2 linked regions of the Neodiprion lecontei genome follow. The main gene of each other region encodes a partner of the protein of the gene in region 2 in a complex. Links are inferred from orthologs where the notes say so. Each region holds a gene or a part of one and is shown on either strand. Other genes may lie near its edges. The genes, in order: translation initiation factor eIF-2B subunit gamma and translation initiation factor eIF-2B subunit beta.

The links.
Region 1: translation initiation factor eIF-2B subunit beta (region 2) and translation initiation factor eIF-2B subunit gamma share a complex: the UniProt entries of both Homo sapiens proteins name them as parts of the translation initiation factor 2B (eIF2B) complex. The link is inferred for Neodiprion lecontei from reciprocal best matches to the Homo sapiens genes EIF2B2 and EIF2B3.

Annotation. Positions count from the first base shown.
Region 1 is NC_060263.1:38,050,268-38,056,961, forward strand, and holds translation initiation factor eIF-2B subunit gamma, read left to right. Parts: upstream 1-1,907; 5' UTR 1,908-2,194; intron 2,195-3,614; exon of another isoform or gene 3,615-3,682; intron 3,683-3,758; 5' UTR 3,759-3,844; intron 3,845-3,982; 5' UTR 3,983-4,013; coding exon 4,014-4,690; intron 4,691-4,788; coding exon 4,789-5,122; intron 5,123-5,366; coding exon 5,367-5,587; intron 5,588-5,659; coding exon 5,660-5,816; 3' UTR 5,817-5,900; downstream 5,901-6,694. Other genes in the region: rapamycin-insensitive companion of mTOR, read right to left, coding at 1-75, 364-520, 959-1,006, 1,073-1,127; uncharacterized protein LOC124294107, read right to left, coding at 6,479-6,694. UniProt on the Homo sapiens protein: Acts as a component of the translation initiation factor 2B (eIF2B) complex, which catalyzes the exchange of GDP for GTP on the eukaryotic initiation factor 2 (eIF2) complex gamma subunit.
Region 2 is NC_060265.1:21,914,383-21,918,656, forward strand, and holds translation initiation factor eIF-2B subunit beta, read right to left. Parts: upstream 2,276-4,274; 5' UTR 2,174-2,275; coding exon 2,106-2,173; intron 1,994-2,105; coding exon 1,907-1,993; intron 1,815-1,906; coding exon 1,533-1,814; intron 1,459-1,532; coding exon 1,302-1,458; intron 1,142-1,301; coding exon 617-1,141; coding exon of another isoform or gene 604-616; 3' UTR 507-603; downstream 1-506. Other genes in the region: TM2 domain-containing protein CG11103, read left to right, coding at 1-51. UniProt on the Homo sapiens protein: Acts as a component of the translation initiation factor 2B (eIF2B) complex, which catalyzes the exchange of GDP for GTP on eukaryotic initiation factor 2 (eIF2) gamma subunit.

The sequences.
Region 1 (6,694 bases), on a different chromosome or scaffold from region 2:
TTAAGCATATATCGCACTGCACGTAAGGCTGCTGCACGGACTTGTGTGGCTTCATTGATAAGTCCAATACGAAGACTGTAAAGAAAAAATGACGATTTTTAAGAAAACAAAACATTGTTAACAATAGATTTGGAGAGTCAGGAAGGCCAACCATCTTACTACTAGGAACTAGTCTACATCATAAGGTATATTTCAACATCAGTTCTCACATTACGATTGTATTTTTGGATATTTAAAAGGGAAAAGATATAACATATGTGAAATTAAGTAAAACTTTTAAAGGATGATAGTTGACGAATTTACAGAATACCTCATGCTATATATTTAATAATAAAGTACAAATAACATAAATCAATATCTCACCAACAAAATAATTCCTTATTACAGTACCCATATTCCACAAGATCATTCTCGCTGATGAATTTCACAATGGCATTTAGATAAGCTAATTTTCTTACGTTGGATATTCCTTGGCGTTGACATAGATTCGTTAATACCTCTTGTACATTTTCTTTTATATCTACAAAACAAATCATTCGTATCAAGAGGCATTTGTGATAATAGAAAGAGAGGTAAAGTTAGTGTTTAGAACTGTGACGAGCAAGATATTTTTACTTTTTTCCAGATATTTACTTGTTGCTATAAGTAAGAGTATGGATATAAACTTTCAATTAGTACCGGCATTGAAGGGTTCATAATATATTCACATCTGACTTTGAAAAGCAAAGAAATTCGAGACGAATGTGATAAGAAAGTAAGTTTGAGATGCCCAGTGCTATGGTTTTCACGTTACAGTTGGAAAATAAATTTCCAGATTAGTTTGACACTGGGGAATTGTTATTGTTGGAGATATTCAACTGTTATTGTTATTATTGGTATTTTAATTGCTGTGATTATTAGACATACTGTTGTATAACATTCGAAAGTAAGATTGACAGGTTAGGGCTAGGTTACTAACCTTTTGACAGATCCAGTTGCACGGAATTGTCTTCGCCATCAAGATGACCTGCGGCAACAAATGAATTAGTTTTCGATAATGAGTTCATTCAAAATATGTGAAAAATGAGCATACTTTTATGAGATCTATTAGACCGTGAACTCCTTCCACGAATCATCCAACTAGCCATTGCTATTCACTGCCGGCCGCTATCCACAGGGACATTTAATACTTTCGTCCATTTAATAGTATCTTTAAACAAAGGATATTTCATTCTTAAAACATCGAAGTACTATCACGGCTTTAATTATTGATGAATCAAGTGTGATTTGATTCAAGTGACACACGTACGGACGTTGAACTCGACATAGTGTACTTTCGATTGTGTAGAATCTAAAAAAAAATTCTACATAGGCACGTATAGGTGCCAGAGTAAGATGGGAAAACAATCGAAGCTTTTCGCTACACTGCGATCTGTTATTGTAAAAAGCAACTACAAGGGTATTTTGTGGAAACTTCACACAGAGTGCAGCACTATCTAGATTGGCACTGTTGCACCAATTTATTCTAAATCGAGTGACTCCAAAATTCCTGAAATTTTTATTACAATCAATATTGACGTAGGACTTCTGTTACTTAATTCGATCCTGTGATTTTCTCTGCCAAAGTAGGCCGAAATACAAATCACAGCCAGCCGATCTCGCTTGTGATTGCTAGTGAAGTTCAAATTTATGCCTGACGTGGTGAGCGAAAACAATTCATATCAACGTACGTCGAAGATCCAGTTCGATAGGGTAGAAATTTGTGAAGCAAAATATTGTTGAACAAGTATTTGATATAATATGTGATGACAAATAAAAAACGTGCTATAATTGATATAAAAAGAACCCCAAACGATGTATGTATATGGCTGTAGCGTACAAAAATTACAAAGAAAGCACACATTCGTTACCAGTATTGTTTACTAACCTACAAATGATAAAGATGGTGACTATATAATACCACCTGTGATATTACACAAAAATACCTTGGCTTCACCTATCTTCAATGCCTCAGCCACGGGTATAAACAAACGAAGACAGATGGACTAATTCATTGGCACCAGAGGCATCAGGATTGGCATATTTCCACCATATTTCCGATCAGGGAAGCGTCACACGGAAGAATAAAGTATAAATAGATGGTAATTGTTCGGTGATGTCAATAATAGTTATGAGTTAACCTGTCTGTCAAGAAAATATCAATTCTCCATATTTAGTAAGTTTTTCTGAAAATGATAGAAATAGAAATTGTATGAACATCCACAATTCTTAGAATCGATACTTGTACTTAGAAGGAACATCACTCTGGTTTCCCCCTCTGATTTCGTTGCAACGCATGTATGATGTTGAACCTTGAAAATTAAAAGAAGTGTATTTAATTTATCGGCGGAAAAACGGTTTAAAAGGGTGAAATAACCCTCCAAAGTAAGGCATTTCAAGGGGCGATTTGACAGTTTCACCCGCAAGCAATCGGCTGATTTCAATGAACCGAAATTGAAAATGTTTTTCATGTTAATCATTGTGACGACTACCATACATATTGAAACAAAATAAATAAAGTTGAGGGGTGAACCGTCCCTCAATTTTTTTTGCACTCGCCATTCAAAAATCGTGGACCTAATTGAATGAAACCAATGCCATTTTATAGAAAAAACAAAATGGAAGTTCATGTATTTTTGCGTTTTTCAAAAACGCAAAGTCAAGGGAGTAAACTGCCCGCTGCATAAACTTACTTCACATGCCATCTTCCATCTGTTTAAAATGTATCTGCTGATTCAAAATATATTTGTCAGCTCATAGTTGAAGTTTCATCACATTATAAAATCATTAGGCATGTGGGAGGGTATCAAACATGTGCCAATTTATTTTGATATGGCTGATGCCATTAGATTGAAAACACGAACGTTGTGTATGCGCACTCTTGCATACTTAAAAACTACCTCTGCAAAGAGGATAGACTACCCCTCAAGTGAGGGTGGGTATCAATACTTATATTTGTACGTTAGAGAAATTTCCGTGCTTTTTTTATACGCTAGGTAAGAGCATAATTTTTAAATGGGCTCATTCACTGTCAGTTCCTTGTTTTTAAACAACGATCCATATGAACAAATTCATTAGCATTATGTCTATATGAATGATATGTAAAAATCCATTCTTCCGTTCAAAATATTTGTAGTCGGATTCAATACATATGATTTAATTTATTTTATAATATTTTCATGTTAAGGGTCTTGTTTTTACGCACGCACGTAGACAATAAAACAGAGATTCCTATTCTTTAATCACATATCGTATGGTATACAAGACATGTTAAAATTGAATGTGTTGGTAAATGATAAGGATGTTGGTGCAATATAAGAATATTATTAACTATGGGGTGGTCAGATAATATATTATTTTTCTGATATACCTGCTTTAAAAGCTCGTAACCTTTGAAAATTTTTTCATTCCATGATTGTTAATATATGTAATATTAATCATAAGAATGCAACATAAGAATATAATATAATATAAATGTAATATTTTGTAATAGCGATCAAACAAGAGTGGTTTTGGCAATTAAATTGATTTTAATTGGTAACATTTTATTTAGATCAAAACGTTTTTTCACTTCAAAAAAAAAATACATTTCTTAGTTTTCAGTATTCTACAACATACATGAGTGGCAACAAAATCAGAGGAGGACACCAAAGTGATGCTCTTTGTTAGTACTTATAATTGATATACATTTTCTTTTACTACAATGTTATTTATGATACGTATAACTTTGAATTCTTAAGCTTGATTCCATTAACATCCAAGAAAATTAATCTACAGATGAAGTGGCTAATATAACTGCTACTTTGACCACATTAAATTGTAATAGGTAATATCTCACATGGTTGTGTCATAAGTGTTTATATTTGTGCCAGCTAATAAGTAACACAGAAAAGTCAGGAAGTACTGTCTAATTATAGTAAAATTCTCGGCAACACTAAAATTTATCTAACCCTATACATTGCAGACCCTTTGCACCTGGAATCGCATGACACAACATGTGGCGCCAAATGGAATTTCAAGCTGTAGTCCTTGCTGCAGGCAAAGGATCCCGAATGACAGAATTGACAGCTAGTCGAGCCAAGTGCTTGTTGCCTATTGGAAACTATCCCATGCTCTACTATCCCCTAAAACTTTTAGCACGTAACGGGTTCATGGAAGTCATTGTTGTGGTACAAGAAGAATGGAAAAATGAAATAGCGTTAGCTATAGACAAATTGAATATTAGACTCAGATGTGATTTCGTTGGAATCCCAGGTGGGGACGATCTAGGAACTGCTGACGTCCTCCGATTAATCCATGAGAAGTTCTACACAGACATCATTGTTCTCCCTTGCGACTTGATCATGAATATCGATTTAAGTGGCATTTTCAATTCTTATAGAAGACATTCAGCAATCATTATTTCTATGCTGATCCAACTTCCAACATTTTCTGACAAATTGATTAATCCTGGACCAAAGAGCAAACCAAAACCAGAGAGAGATTTGATTGGAATAGACAATGAAACTAATCGATTAATTTTTTTCGCCTCTGCATCAGATTTTGAAGAAAAGATAAATATATCACGAAAACTGTACAAGAAACATACAAACTTCAATATTAACTCAAATCTTTTGGATATACACTTATATATCATCCATAAATGGATTTTGGATTGTCTACTAATTGACAAGTATGTCTTTTAGTAAAAGAGTAACGATCAGTTAACGCCACAAGTGTATTTTTACCTTACTACCGAAGTACTGATTAATTTTTGTTTATTTTTTACAGAAGCATCAGCTCTATTAAAGGTGAATTATTGCCATATGTTATCAAGAAACAATCAGCGCAGACACACAACCCCAATAAAATAGAAAAAAGTACATCTATCATGAAACAAAACACTGACAGAGATATATTTAAATTGGTAACGGACAAAGCTCTGAGCAAACGGAAAAAACGTCTAGATGTTTTGATCAGTGAAATGTCGCCCTTCAATGACCACTCGACAAATTTGGAGAATGCTTATAACGAAGATTTGATAAAATGTTATGCTTTTATTCAAAATACCAAATTTGGATTTAGAGCAAATAACATACATATGTACGCACTGGCAAACGCAGTAGTAGGTTGTTCTGTTATGGAAATTTGCATTCTACATTACATAATTGAGAAATTAATATAAGTTGGTTATCCAGAATTTGCTCTGTTATGGCTTGTTGGTTTTTGCACAATAATTTTTGTGCCGACAGTTCCCACTCTTGGTGACCTCTGAGGGGCTGTGTCATAAAACATAAATCTCAGAAACATGGGCTGAAGTAATATTAGCCTACTAATTATATTACGCCTTAAGTTGATTATATTTTCAGATTCATGAAAAGTGGGCTATTCTGTCAGCGGCGCCAACGATATTTTTTGATGATTCAATGATCAAAACCAACCAAGTTGAAAATTGCACAATTGGTTATAATGCATCAATCAGTGAAAAGACATCACTGAAGCTCAGTCACATTGGTACAAGTGCAGTTATAGAAACGAAAACAAGGGTTTTAAACTCCGTTGTAATGGAAAACGTTATGGTCAAAGAAGGGTAATATAAAACATTTTTTTGAATAATAAAGTAAACCCAAATAAATCACTCACTGTTTTGTCTGTTTTTCAGATGCGTAATTAACAATTGCATATTATGCAATGACAGTGTAGTCGAAGAAGGCTGCGAGCTAAATCATTGTATAGTAGGAGCCAATCATACGGTACCAGCTGGTAGTCGGCATTCTGATGAAGTTTTGACCGATATTGGTAATCTAATGGAAATTTAAAGATTTGAGAAAGTAACGTTATTCGCAACTCTGTATTTTAATGATGTCAAATACTACGAAATAAATAATTTGTTTACTTCTAATTATACGTTATTGCTAGTTGATTATTCGAATATTGTAGTATGATGTGGGCACTATATTCCCCCGGAAACATGAATTGTTCTTCTAGTGCTTAGCATCCGACATTCTGGTAGAAAAAAATAACTCAAATGGTAAAAAAACTAATATAAGTAGATAAATACACCGTTGACTGAACATGTAAATTGTACTGTCCACGATCGTGGGAAATTTTAAATTTACGCGGGCTTTATGTGGCATAGGGTTTGAAATTATACCCAGACTACGAACTCGGACCTTGATAAAATATTTTCAATGTGGGCATCTTGAGACAACTGCAGGCAGCGGATCGCTGTGAGCCTCGCTCGTGCCGTCACCTAGCGGTTTCAAAAGCTAAATAGCCGGCGTGTTAATTTACATTAGAGGCATACTGATAAATATCCAAATCAGCAAAATATTATCAAATAAGTGATATTTCCATTGTAACAGTGAAGTGAAAAGTTGAAACTAATAACGAGTTGAAACTCCAGTAGTATGTAGCAATATAATATTAATAAATACACAATGAAAACCACTACCTTTTACGAATAAAGGTTTCTATTATTCTACTTGATAGTTTTTGTTTTATTAGAAAAAATTGGTGGCTGTAAATTTACTAAGCCGCAGATAACATGAATAATATTATCGATGCAAAAGAACAAATGTTCTGGAATTTTATACAAAATTTGATATGTTTTAAGTCGTTGCGTAATTCTTTCTACATGAATTCGAACTCTTGCGATGTTGTAAGTCAGATCTGTTTCTTCTTTCGAAAATTCTGA
Region 2 (4,274 bases):
ACCAATTCTCTGCAGCCCGAAGACGGTAGCAACTGGAATCCTTATGTCTGATGATAGTAAATAGACCCAAATATTGTGAATAACTACCAACTATTGACTAATTCTGCACTTAGATAAATATATATACATACATGTATATGTATGTACAAAAACAATTCGTGTTAGAATTCAAATAGTACATAGATATATCTATGCTGAAAAATCTACTGGTTTTTATCTGTGCTTGAACTATGGAATCTGGTTGTAGAAACAAGTTCCATGTTGTGTCAAATTTTACTTGATACAAGTATAGTGTTTCAACATTAAATAATCTAAATGTGGAAATCCCAATTACCGTGCCATCGTCATGTGCAAATATAATACAAACGGTTTCCAGTATCCGTTTAATCTTGTCTGACTTTGATCTCCGAGTTTCCGAATTTATCTTTCCACACATATTTTTTGTTTCCTTTGTTTGGCCACATATGTTTCATCACAGTGAAAAATGGACACAAGATAATTCATAGTTTATTAATAAATATAGTCAAGTTTTTATTTCGATTATCATACTTAGTTTTACCAAATTAATTACGTTTTCATTGTCATATTCGTATGGTCAATGTATTATAATTCGTAGTCATCGGGATGGTACAACTCGCTTAGCAATCTGTAGATGTAGGACGGTGCATTTCCTCCACTGAAAAGAAAAAAAGTATGTTGGAATGATTTGCCACACATTGAAAGCTGTGTGTAAAGTGATGACTAACGTGTTGGTAACAAACAACGTGACGAGTTCCGGTGGAACGTAATCGAAGACAGGGTTGTAGGCTTGAATTTTTTCCATCAGTAGAGAATTGGTGCCATCTATAACACCTTGCGTCGGAGAGACGTGTTTGTTGAAAGCATCTTGTTCGTACGAGCAAAGATACAAAGGCGACAATTTGTACAACGGTAGTAGGACTGTAACCGGTACAGAATAATGCTTAGCCGCCAACGCAACTGTGTGACATCCTGTGATAGACCTGAGCCCTCCGTTAGCCATGACTGTATGAGTTCCAATTATTACTTTATTTACCCTAGACATCATAGCGAATATCGCCACGTCAGATATCAGAGTCGTCTTAATCTTTGCCTTGGCTAAATTTACAGCCATTTCGTGGCCCTGTGAAATAATAGCAAAACAAAGCATGCACGAGAGTAAATTAATAGATCTAAGGCTACAAAAATGCTCAAATATGAGCTATGAATGAGATTGTACAGCTGAACACTTGATGAATGTTATTTCAAAATGTAAAGATACAAAATAGAAATAATATACAAACATTAAGAAATGGTGCACCTTCGGCTACGATGACTTCGAAAGTCCTTGACTCTGTGGCTTTTTTCAAAAAATCCTCAACCATCCTGGATCTTCCCAGTGTCATGATAATTTCATTGGAGTGAATGTGTTCCGACGCTTGCTCGGTAATATTTTCCGAGCTGAAACAGAACTGGAATGAAATGGACGTTCTATTTATTAAAGAGACAAATGTGCGGGGGTATAAAATACAGACCAAGTTTCCAGTTCGACTTGAAATTCTGTAATGTGTTCGATGAGTGCGGACTTCAGAGAGGGAACGGAATGGGAATAGTCATTTTCCTGATCTCCTCCTGCGGTAAGAATTTTATGAAGGGATTCCTGAGGGTCCGTCTCTTCCGTTCTATGTTTCAACTCCGATATGTACTCTTCCCTGATGATTTTCAGTATCCTACGAACCATACTACCTATCGACGATTCTATCGGTACAGAATCGATCAGAACTTTTCCATTTTCTTTGATCAATTTCATCAATTCTCTGTGGAAGTTGACAGCAAACATTAAAATGGATAATTATTTATAATTATTTGGTATAATAATTAGACTCAAGTTATCAAAATTTATTCTTACTCCGCGGTATTCCATTCTGAATTGTTAATGATATTCTTTAATAGCGATACGGTCGATACTACGATGTTGTAACTACCATTGATTCTCCTGTAACAAATTACCAGTGTGTTCAGTTTTTAGTAATTTTGCAACACGATAATGTCAAACGCTTTTAGAGTTTGGTGAATCGAAGGTTATGTTTCAGAAATACTTATTATACCCGTAATTAATATCCCTTATCAAGGTTAACACACTAGGGTGGATATTATCAGGAACATCAGCTACCATTTTATTGCACTAAAGTTTACTCGATATGGTTTATCGAAAATAATTACAGAACTTTTCACGGCAATATTGGATCAACGCGACTGCGACGGACGTTAGTTTTCCTTTTTCTCTATCGGTATAGTAGAACTCTCCACACAACTGATACCGACTAAAATTTCCTGCTATCGACAGTCGTTACCGCTAAATTCAAATTTCTTGTAGTACAAAATACTTGAAAAATGAGTATCGTAATAAATGTACGATTTTTTTGAAATTCCGCAAAGCAACACTTTCCTATAAATTGGTTGGTGAACAACTGTGCTGCAATTTGTAGTAACAGGGCCAACGTTGTGACGTTAATTGTAATCGATTTCTTCGAAGAAATCGCAAAATAAGAATATATAGGTATATGAGAAACGTATGAAATGTTAAGTATAATTGAGTGGACTCTGGTGGGGACTTATCTAAATGAAATTCGGCCTTGATGTAATTAACATTTATTGATATTGCCACTACCAGTGGAAAACTGCCAACAATGTAATATAATAATAGTACTTGAGCTATTCCGATATTTCAATAACTATATAATTAAAAATTCTTAAACAATATTTGCCTGTATTTATAAAATCGGGGTGACGTGAACTGAAACATACAATATAAAAGCAATATTTAACACATTATACAGGTAGATAGAGACTTTCCCATTTCATGAAAGTCACAAATTCATTTTGAATTTAAACATCTAAAATATTTACTAATATTTAGTAATATACTATAGGGGAAAAATCATGAAAGTTTATACGTATAATACTTGAATTATTAATACGGCTATCACTTGATTTTTATAATTATGAATAGACTCCAGTCCCTAATATTCTAATTTGTATCTAAAAAATTGGAAATTTTCAATGCCATACTATATAACGTTGATTTAGTTTTAGTTCTTCTACTCTCCGTATACCATTGTTCTACGGTTGTTTATACCCAGACTAAATTCAGTTTTTTCGTTAATTTAATTTTTTTGCCTTCTACATGCATCACTTATACTCACCCTACATATGGATATCTTTACGAAGCTAAAATTGTTGTCTTTGTCTTGTTTTTCTTAGCATTGCCGTATAGTTTTTCGTTACAATGATTTTGCCGTTTACAATTTATTGCCAAAGTCGCTGAAAAGAAAAATATATATATATTTGGAAAAAATCATTCTCACCTAAATATATATTCTATAGTACAATTCGTAACCTATATACTTTTAACGGGAACATCGTGGTGATCGTTTTTAGGAACTCGATCGAATTCCTGTGCCTAGATATCAGTGATACGTATCCTGTTAAGTCCGCAGATAATATTTTAACGCGACAACGAGTTGAAAACAAGGAGCGAAACATGTCTGATTACTATTATACTTTACTTCACCTACTGCGAGTCTCAAACGTCCATTTCTTGGTCGTTGTAGAAGTTCTTGTATTCGAAAATTTAGCTTTCCTAGACAGTTTTTATGAAATTCATAATCAGTTTGATAAGGTTTTTTTTTTTTTTTTATTATTTTTTTTTTTTTGCGTCAAATGCATCATATTAATTAATCAATAATATATAAACACGCTTCGCAGTTGTTGTTGTTGTTTTCCTTCATCTCTCTCTCCCTCTCTCTCTCTAAATTTCATTTCTTATCAACGATAATCATTGAGCTATAGGGAAATATTTAAGATACTGAGGACGATCACCTATAATTTTGATACAGTTATATTGCTAGTATTATTTATAGGTAAACAGTACGTTTCTATATAATACATGGTATTTACATGGAGATGGCAGTACGTTACAGCAAATAGTTGCTGTGCGAAGTACATAACTAAATTTTAGTCATTTTATAATATGACTTTACTCATCGTATAGTGATCAAACTATGAGTTTTTATACTTGTCTATTATGTTTAATACAATTTTGATTACAGTCATACAACTTTATTTTTATCTTACGTAAACTAATTTCAGTAAATTGACTAGGGCTCAGCTTGGCTAGATTATTAGCCGCAGCTTTATACCTTCAAATCTACTAATCTGTACAGCATTAGTATCAATACGCGACTTGAAATTGATATCGGAGCTGAACGGCGAAC